3 linked regions of the Macaca mulatta genome follow. The protein of the gene in region 2 purifies or fractionates together with the protein of the main gene of each other region. This does not show direct contact. Links are inferred from orthologs where the notes say so. Each region holds a gene or a part of one and is shown on either strand. Other genes may lie near its edges. The genes, in order: WDR75, UTP4 and UTP15.

The links.
Region 1: the proteins of UTP4 (region 2) and WDR75 purify together in Homo sapiens (co-immunoprecipitation; 3 studies listed by BioGRID and IntAct, counting the BioPlex papers as one, with this or other methods). This does not show direct contact. The link is inferred for Macaca mulatta from reciprocal best matches to the Homo sapiens genes UTP4 and WDR75.
Region 3: the proteins of UTP4 (region 2) and UTP15 purify together in Homo sapiens (co-immunoprecipitation; 4 studies listed by BioGRID and IntAct, counting the BioPlex papers as one, with this or other methods). This does not show direct contact. The link is inferred for Macaca mulatta from reciprocal best matches to the Homo sapiens genes UTP4 and UTP15.

What each region holds. Positions count from the first base shown.
Region 1 is NC_133417.1:94,453,669-94,457,125, reverse strand, and holds part of WDR75 (WD repeat-containing protein 75), read right to left. Parts: intron 3,445-3,457; coding exon 3,349-3,444; intron 2,726-3,348; coding exon 2,556-2,725; intron 1,985-2,555; coding exon 1,925-1,984; intron 1-1,924. UniProt on the Homo sapiens protein: Ribosome biogenesis factor. Part of the small subunit (SSU) processome, first precursor of the small eukaryotic ribosomal subunit.
Region 2 is NC_133425.1:64,745,028-64,748,782, forward strand, and holds the start of UTP4 (U3 small nucleolar RNA-associated protein 4 homolog), read left to right. Parts: upstream 1-1,565; 5' UTR 1,566-1,606; exon of another isoform or gene 1,607-2,374; 5' UTR 2,375-2,376; coding exon 2,377-2,535; exon of another isoform or gene 2,536-3,625; intron 3,626-3,755. UniProt on the Homo sapiens protein: Ribosome biogenesis factor. Involved in nucleolar processing of pre-18S ribosomal RNA. Part of the small subunit (SSU) processome, first precursor of the small eukaryotic ribosomal subunit.
Region 3 is NC_133411.1:79,962,554-79,965,354, forward strand, and holds part of UTP15 (U3 small nucleolar RNA-associated protein 15 homolog), read left to right. Parts: intron 1-919; coding exon 920-1,004; intron 1,005-1,826; coding exon 1,827-1,976; intron 1,977-2,750; coding exon 2,751-2,801. UniProt on the Homo sapiens protein: Ribosome biogenesis factor. Involved in nucleolar processing of pre-18S ribosomal RNA. Required for optimal pre-ribosomal RNA transcription by RNA polymerase I.

The sequences.
Region 1 (3,457 bases), on a different chromosome or scaffold from region 2:
ATAGGTTTTCAATCTCTATGTTGCTCAAGGGTCAATTGTAATGACATTTGAGATTGTCTCAATAAATTAGCTCACATAGTGGAAGCCAGGGGATAAGTTCTGCACAGGCAGAGAACTTCCAAGTGGCTTTTTAACCCACTTTTAAATCCAAAGACAGTCAAGAATCATCAGACTCTGATGAAAACCTCTAGATGAACGGCAGCAACCAAAACAAACCAAAACCAAACAAAAATGTGATGGAAACAGACCATGAAAAAGAAAAAAAGATGTGATGATAAAGATGAAGAAATCTTCCAGAAAACAAACAAAAAATAGGTAAAACAATAAGAATCATAGAGAACCATTTTAGAAGGTCCAGCACTAAATAATAGGAGTTCTAGAAAATAGAGAAAATACAGGGAAAGAAGTAATTAGCTCCTCCTTAGTTCTCTACTCAAAACCCTCCAAGGGGCCCTATATGTAACTCAGATAAAAAGTCAGAATCTTTTCAAAAAGGCCTACCTAGACTTCCCTGTTTAAAATGATAAGCTGCATCCCATGCATGCCATCTTTTCATCTATCCCCCACCCCACCGTAATTCTTACCACCTTCTCTATTCCATATTTTACTTAATGCATGTTGTTTACTGTCTCGATCTTCTGGTGGACTGTGAATACCACAAATTTATAGGGACTTGACTACTTTTCTCACTACTGTATCCCAAGGGTCTAGAATGGTCCCTGGCATACAGTAAATAACAAAAAAATTATTGAATTAATCCAATGAGTTTCAAAGGAAAATAAACAAGCCAAGTTACAGATGAAGGAACAAGAATAAGAATGGTATTGAACTTCTAGTAATACTGGAAATTAGAAAATAATAGGACAATAATGTCAAAGTTCTGCAAGAATGATTTTCAACCTACAACTCTATAATAATCAAGTGAAAGAGAATAAAAACATTTCCAAACATGCAAGGTCTTCAATTGACCTCCAATGCACTAAAAGAATGCTTCACCAAAACGAGGGAGTGACCAAAGAAAGAGAAAAACTATGCCACTAATAGAGTAGAGGTCAAATAAATCCCCAGATGATGGTGAATATAGATCCTAGGATGACTACTCTGTAGCAGGTTTCCAGAGCAATCAGTCCAGACTGAAGACAGTCAGAAGGCTCTTGGAAATAATCCTTCATGACTTGAAAAAATACTTAAGGTATCTGAAAACACTCAGAGAACACTTATACAACTTGAGCAGAATTTGGGTTGAATTACATGAGAATAGAAAACTAAGCAAATGAAAAAAGAAGGCAATCATTAACTCCAGAGAAAATAAAAACTTGGTCACAAAAGGAAAAACAATCTGCCTATTACTACTACATGGCTTGGCTATGAATTGTGTTAATACAGCTATGACAATGACTACTAAACTAACCTATTTAACATTTACCCATATGGGGAAAATTGGGGGACAAGTAGGGAAAGTGTGTGTTGTGTATATGCAAGCAGTGCTGATGTAAAAAAGGGCTAAAAATTCAGCTTCAATAGATCAGAGTTAACAGATAATACCTAAATCTGAAAAATCTATAATTAGAAATATAAACATTTCTTAGAGATTTCTTAGAGATTCAGAGTTAAAAAAAACTTCAGCTAAAAGATTTGAGAGTGATTGTCTTTGAGGGTAATGGTAGTGGTGATGGAGTTTTTTCTGAAGAGCCTTGTAAAAATATTTGACTCTTTAAATCAGAAGCATGTTACCGATATTATAAATTAAAACAATTTTAAAAGAGCACTAAAACTTTCAAGAGAGACATACCAGTTTATAAGTATATGACTTCTAATTCCATTTTAGGGTCAAGTGAAATATTTTTCTCATAGTCGACTTCTAAAAGGTAATTGTATCCTTTCAGGTAGGCAATGCATCCTGCTATGAATGGCTAAAACATACCTGTTTGCTTGTTGGTGTGAGTTTTTCTTCTGGAGACTTTGTACTGAATGTCAATAAACTCTGAAAAGAGAGATCAATTAACGATACAAAAGACAAACTGTAGAGTGCAAATCTAAACAAGGTGTTACAGGGTGTTAAAAAATGGGAAGGTCAAATTTTTCATTTTGATATATATATTTGACAATAGAAAAGGAATAAAAGATTTAAACCTATTTAATAACCACTATGAGAGTTACAAGATTATGTCTGAGAGATACTTAAGAAATGGAAATGAATAAAAAATAACTGACAGACCAAACTCAAGCCACCATTTTAAAAACTGCAAATCAAACACTAAAATAAAAAAAACAAAAAACATTTACGCAATTTGAAGTATTTTAGTTGTCTTCTGCTTCTTTGCTGTCACAGAGTTAATGCAAGCAATACCTAAGGAACCTCAAAGGTGTGGGGTAAAATGATAATACATTTACATTAATAATACTGCTGTACTGGGCATATTAGACCTAATTTTTGAGGAAATAATCCTTTAATGAAGTTATTTCACCTAGAACAAACTCACACCAACAGTCATGGGCTATTAGTCTAAAATTCCATGTACAAAGCGATTGCCTTTTTTGAGGGGGGCAGTTACCTGTGATTTTGTTAGGAAGTAAAACTGGGATCTATTTAGCCACTGGTAAGCTTCTGAGGTGAAAGATTCAGGGACATCTCGTGGAACAAACACTCCCCACTGGACTTCCTCTCTGGAGATACCCTTTTGAATATACAATGGCCTTGGCTCACTAGGTTTAAATACAAACACTAGAGGAAAAAAACAAAGAGACAATAACATTTTGCCTGAAAAGGTTAGTTCTAGCCTTAGACTGGCAGATCACACTAATCCTGGGACTCACCCCATTGAGTAACTGGCCCAAGTCATGACTGTTTTAGGCTGATTCAAGAGGTATCTACTGTGTGCCTACTATGGGCCAGGCAGGTTAGGAATGAGGGCTATGAGGATGAAAAAGAGAAAGAAGAATTGCTGCTCCAGAGGCCAGGGCCTACTGCAGAAGACAGAAACCACAGTAGTATTTTGTCTGTAAGTACTAGAAATGAGATATGTAGAAACTGCTTCAAGAACACAGAGGATGACCAATTAAAGCTTCTCAGGGGCAGTTGGGAATGTGTCAAAGTGGTAAAATCTCCTGAATTTTAAAGACTGAGTAGGAACTGGCTTGTGGAAAAATAAGAAACGTATTGGAGCTCTCCTAGAACTAAGTATGGACTTACACAATGACAAAGTGTTAGGGCAAGGAAGGGCCGTGCCTCAAGCAAAATGGCTTCCAATTAACATCTGATTTGAAGGCAAGTTTGACTCAAATTATATTAAGAAGAAAACTTAGGTCATAGATATTCTCTTACTACAAAGTGTGGTTTGTACTTACAGTCTGAACCCACTGAAGACTGAGAGATTGCTGCAATATTCTCTGAATTAGGATCAGGTTCCATAACTCTAACATTTAATTTTGCATTCCACTCCACTGAGGGGGAAAA
Region 2 (3,755 bases):
TTGAAAGGCTTATGTCACTAAGTCTAAAATCCTGTTTCCAAATGAGAAGCTTGCTCCCCTCCAAAAGGGGGCTTATGGAGGGTTGGTGGAATTGAATGCTTCCAAACTTTACATTAGTGAAGAGTGTGTTCAAAAACTTATGTGGATGCTATGCATACACGTGATACTTCCCATCACATTTTAGGATTCCCACGTTGGAGGGAATCAATTACTGGTATTTGTAGCAATGGGTGGAAAAGATGGCTTCAGTCGATCTGAGTTACTGCAGTTTTCTCCATCTTCTGCTACTCTGCAGCCCCATCTTAGCCTGTCCTCCTCTTAATGCTACGGACCCTTGTATTCCCCCAAACCCTTTCCTTTCCAGCCCGGCGTGGAGTCTCCCTCTATCCTCTTCCTCCCACCCACCCCCATCTTCTCCACCCACTCCCTCTCGGCCCCCTCCCACCCTTTCTGCTAGAGCTACAAACACTTCCTATTTCTAGTCCCACCCACTTTCTGGGACTTCTCAATCCGCTTCCCCCCTCTTCTCCACCCCCCTCTAAATTACAAGCTGTTTTAACCCCTTTTCCTGCCTCCCAGGGAAACTATTCTTTAAACCGCCTTCCTCCACACCACCCACCGGAGTGGTCTTCCAAACCGTTCACCCTCCTCCCAAAGATTACTCTTTAAACGTCCTTTCTCTACCACCCTCGTTCTCCAAATTGTTCCCGGTTCTCAAGTACTCCGCCCCTCCAGGACCCCATCCCACTCATCTCTACGGCTTCCCATCCACAAAAGAACCTGGAATGACTCTCCAACCACCTTCCCAATTACCTCTCCCAGAAGCCTCCCTACTCCACGATTACAAATGTTCCCTGGAACAAAACCTCACGGTCCTTCCCCCCACCCCGAACTCCCCTTTCTGCTATTCCCGCTACTTCCTAGGTTCCAGTTCTACTCCGCTCCCGCAAGCATAGCGGGCTGGGCTCCCTCCCAACCCCGGGAAGAACCCCTTCCCGCACGTACCTCGAGGTTCCGGCCCGCGCCGCCCCCTTCTCCGTCCTCCGCCCGCGCTCGGCCACCCTTTCCGCCCTTCTCACGCTCCTCCCCGCTCGCTCCCTTCCTTCCCTCCGCCTCCCGTCTCCACACCGCTCCCTTCCCCCAAACTCCCGGCCCTCCCACCCCGGGGGCCCCTCCGGGCTCGCCCCCATCTCCGCACCGCCCTCCCGCCACCCTCCCCCTTCCCAGCCACCCCTCCCCCGCCCGAGCTCCCCGCCCCTCGGCTCGCCATTCTTCTCTCCGAGCCGCGCGCCCCGCCCGACCCCGGCTCCCTAGCTTCCCGCTCCCTCGCGCCCTCGCCCCCATCCCCGGCTCGGCCCTCGCTCCCCGCGGCCTCCCATGCCCCCCGCCCGCGGCCTGACCTGCAATGGCGGCCGCCGAGCGCGGCGCCGCGCGGCCAACGGGCGACAACCGAACCTCCCGCCGCCGTCGCCGCCGCCGCGAGCACTGCCTGCGCACTTCCGACTATGCGCCAGGAGCACTTCCGGGGCAGAGCCTGAGAGCGCGCGCGCACGTGGGGCCGGGGCGGAGAGAGGCGAGCGCCGGGAAGGGGAGCGTGCGGCAGCTGGTGAGTTGGGGAAGGGGCGTGGGAAGCGGCTGCGAGAGCTGGGAGTCTTACATGGTGGGCCGGCCCAGGGTCGGCGTCCGGCTGATCTCCTTGTCCCGAGGGTCTCCTTGTCCCGAGGCTGGGTGGGGGCTACTCTGTAGACCCTGGAAGAAGGAAGGGGAGGCGAAGACCGCGCGCGCCCCAGGCGCTCTGGCCCTGCCGAACGCGCCTGCTCTTTCTGCGGGTTCCTAACCTTGAAGCTAGACGAGTGAGGGGCGAACAAGACCGGGTCTCTACTCTGGCCCAGTACGTATGTTGGCCGGCGTCGGGGGGACGGGGTAGGGTAAGTGACAGACGTCAGACCAGGCAGCCAGAGTAAGTCAAACCCTGTCGCTTCTTCCTCAAGAGGAGCTCAGTTCTGCCTGCCCCATCAGCCTTACTGTCACGACCTCAGTTTAGGTCTCTTGTTTGCAAACTTAGCAATAGAGTTGAGGAGAAATGCTTGCTAAAATGCGGATTCCTAGGCGCCCCGAGATTGGAATTCTGGAGCTATGGAGTAGGACCCTTTTTGATTTTTTGCTGAAGCCTCCTTGTTATTCAAACCATCCTGAGCTTTTGAAGATTAAGCAATTCTTGGGGGTGGGGAGCATTGTTAGTAGCTATTTGGAAATGAACTTCAGGGAGATGTTGGAGCCTGCTATCCAGAACAGTGATATTAAGGAACTGAATACTATACGTGACATACTGCAGTTAACATTTAACAATAATGACTCTCTTTTCCCCCCGCAGGAATGGGTGAATTTAAGGTCCATCGAGTACGTTTCTTTAATTATGTTCCATCAGGAATCCGCTGTGTGGCTTACAATAACCAGTCAAACAGATTGGCTGTTTCACGAACAGATGGCACTGTGGAAGTTTATAACTTGTCAGCAAACTACTTTCAGGAGAAAGTAAGTCATTTGGGAGTCTGATATGGTGTTTTGATGTTAATTTCTTCTGAAGTTCAAGAAACTTGTCTTTTATAATCAAACTAATAGAGTGACTTCCTAGCCCCTCTGAAGTTGTTTAGAACTACCGAACTTCTGAGATCTCCTGTCTAACTGATGAGAGAAGCTCAGTTTCAATCTGTGTAATGTTGATTAGAAGGGTCCTACCTAGAAATGTGTCATCTCACTGCCTGTCATTGGAAACTGAGGTTTGCTGGATATTTTGGCCACAGGAAGGGAAATTGTTGGTATATCAGTCTCAACACCATTGCAGCTTTGGTAAGCAACATTTCCTGCTGGGAGTGTCAGTACTGTTTCATTGTCAATTCAGAAAAAAATGATAACACATTTTAATATCAGAAACTTTTTGGTGACTGTTGGCAGGAAGGTGGATTCCAAAGTTCATCTGTCTGAGAGAATGTAGATCTACATGTCTACATTTGGGAGTAAAGGAGATTTAAAATTAGGTAAAATGTCCTTTGGGTGTATGCGGAGGTCTATTAGTCCTTTTTCTTCTCCCCTCCAAGGTCACTGACTAGTAATTTCGGGTGCAACATCTTAGTACATGTTGAATGACTGTTATGTACTGGGTACTGTGATGTAAATGAATAGATGGGAAAATGAGTGAATTCAGTGCCCAGCAGCCTGGTACCTGGAATTTAGGCATTCTGTAAATGTTGCTCGGTGAATGAGTGGCAAATACTGGGTACTGAGACAGATGTCAGAGGCCCTACCTTTACGGAGCTCAAAGACCAGTGGGAGAAACGTAAGTGTACAGTCTCCAGCCTGTAAAATAAATATGATAAATTGAAACACAGGCATAGAACCTTAATAGAGAATTGCCTTCCCTGAGAGGTGGGTTTAGGAAGTGTGGAAAGGGATGATTTACTGAGCTCACCCCTGAAGAACTAATCAGAATTTAAAAACTACAGGCCCACCACAAATGGGTTACATTCTGTGGTATGAAGAACATATGATGCTGTGTGCTTCTTGCATCCTGTGATTTTCTTTCTTTTTCTTTTTCTTTTTTTTTTTTTGGAGACAGAGTCTCACTCTGCCACCCAGCCTGGAGTGCAGTGGCGTGGTCTTGGCTCACTGCAAGCTCCGCCTCCCTCTCCTGCCTCAGCCTCCCAAGTTGCTGGGATTACAGGTGTGCACCATCATGCCCACCTAATTTTTTTTAT
Region 3 (2,801 bases), on a different chromosome or scaffold from region 2:
TCCCAAGTTTGATCTTCAGATGACAGTGGCTCATGGTCTATCCTGTCGTTTTTTTTTGTTCTGTTTTGTTTTGTTTTCTTAAAAAATTTTTGAGACAGAGTCTTACTCTGTGACCCAGGCTGAAGGGCAGTGGCATGATTTTGGCTCACTGCAACCTCTGCCTCCAAGGTTCAAGCAATTCTCATACCTCAGCCTCCTGAGTAGGTGGGATTACAGGCATGTGTCACCACACCTGGCTAGTTTTTATTATTTTTGGTAGACATCGGGTTATGCCATGTTGGCCAGGCTAGTCTTGAACTCCTGGCCTCAAGGGATCTGCCCACCTTGGCCTCCAAAGTGCTGGGATTACAGGCCTGAGCCACCACACTCGGCCCTTCTATTTTTTTTATAAATGGCTAGTCAAAGTCTTTATACAGATGTTATAGTTAGAGCTGGTATACAGCCCTTTTTTTTTTTTTAGACAGAGTTTCGCTCTTGTTGCCCAGGCTGGAGTGCAGTGGTGCAATCTCGGCTCGCTGCAACCTCCACGTCCCAGGTTCAAGCAATTCTCCAGCCTCAGCCTCCCAAGTAGCTGGGATTACAAGCATGTGCCACCATGCCTCGCTAATTTTGTATTTTTAATAGAGGTGGGGTTTCACTATGTTGGTCAGGCTGGTCTCAAACTCCTGACCTCAGTTGATTCACCCACCTTGGCCTCCCAAAGTGCTTGGATTACAGGTGTGAGCCACCGTGCCCTGCCTGCAGCTCATTTTTTAAGGGATTCAGTGATGAATTAGTTTGTAACTAACATTACTAATCTTTGTTTTTCTTCACTGTTGTATAGATTTTAATGTTTGTATTTTGAGTTTTCAGAAAATAGAAATTTGCATTTTATACTCATTTTCAAGGTGATTTTTGAGAAAGCTTTTCTTTTTATTAGGAAGGTGAAAGTGTACAGCACAACTGCCTACAAAGTAGTCCACAGCTTTGATTATGCAGCTTCGATTTTGAGTCTTGCCCTTGCAGTAAGTACCTTTACCTGTTTTTAAGTCTGTCACTAACCCTGCCTGTTAAATGAAACTAAAATGGAATTTTGGGCTTTATTTTTGGATTTGAGTAACTTTTCTTACCACATTAGATATTTGAGTTAAGACAATTACTGGAATATGTAACTTGTCCTAATGACTTAGCATGAATTTGGGTTTAGGTCCCACTCACTGCATAACTTCAAACTAAGTACAGTGCTCTAGGCATTGTTAACACTAAACGCAGGTCCTGGGAAGCTGGTAAATCTCTCTTCAACTCATTTAATTCAAGAGTATTATAGTACACTAGAAAGGCAGATTAGCTCTCTGAGCAGAAAAAAAGATTGAGGGGGAAGGGGACAACAAAATGAAATCTCTCCTTTTCTTTGTTACTGCTCTTTCTGAAATGTATACTGTCAAGTTTTATGAGAAGCCACATTTGGGCAGGAAGGCATTTGACTATATTATACAGAAATCTGATTTGGGAGAGGAAAAGCTTATTAAAAATATTTTTGAGGGGCAAGATCGTAAAAGTCATGCTACTGTGTAATCCTTGATGCCGTTAACTTTGTATTATTATACAAACTTTGCCGGTGATATTTTACAAGTATAAGTTCTGTCAATGTACTTGTATCCTAAGGAAAAAATGATTTTACTTTAACGTCTTACACCAATCATTGTTAGGCAGACTATGTGTGTCTGAATGGAACTGTTGGTGAATGTATGGACAAGCAGCAAACACATTATAAATGTGTTTTGAAGTAAAAGTACTATAAATTATGAGTTAAGAATAGACTAACTTATTTTTCTAATTGTTATTAGCATGAAGATGAGACAATAGTTGTAGGAATGACCAATGGAATACTGAGTGTTAAACATCGGAAATCTGAAGCAAAGAAGGAATCACTTCCCAGAAGAAGAAGGCCTGCATATCGAACCTTTATTAAAGGAAAAAATTACATGAAGCAACGGGTATTTGTGCATTTCTCATTTTTGTTTAAAGGGTGAAATTTTTTAGAGTAACCAGCTTCGTCCCTGCACATTACGGGAAAGTGTAGTTCACATGGCACTTTAACTTTATTTTGCATTTCTCTACATCAGAATTATTTCTGGATTGCTAGATTGGGGACATTATTGATGAGTAATGGGGAACAAGGACTACTTTTTGTAATAGTCTGCATCATAACATAATGTTATAATGCTTTACTTCATTCAAAATATTGTCTTTCACATACTACCTGATTTGATCTAAATCCCAAGAAGTAGTAGAACCAATCATGTCCCTGTTTGGCACCTGAGAAGATTGAGAGACAAAGAATTTGTGATTGATTAAGGATTTCATTACTGGTATCCAGAGTTGTTGAGACTAGATCTCATTATCTCTGATTGTTGTTTTGTTTCTCTTTCTATTGTATTACACTGCCTGCCACATAAAGAGAACTGAAATGAGGAATTTTTACCTAGAATTAAGGCAGTGTTGCATGTTGTAAGTTAAAATTCTAACAAAGTAAGAACATGTTGATGTAGCAAGTTACTCCATTTTTTTTTTCTGACTCTGATTAGCAGGATTCATTTTTATTTAATCTACGGGCATATGAACATTTATTTATTATGTTTATTATGGGCATATGAACATTATTTGTGGCATAGTTCAGAGATACCACTTCATTATGGAAAAGTTTATATTAAGTGTATCTTTATACAGATACTGATTTTTCTTCTTTATAAATGTGCTTTTCGTTGCAGGATGACATTTTGATTAACAGGCCAGCAAAGAAACACCTAGAATTGTACGAC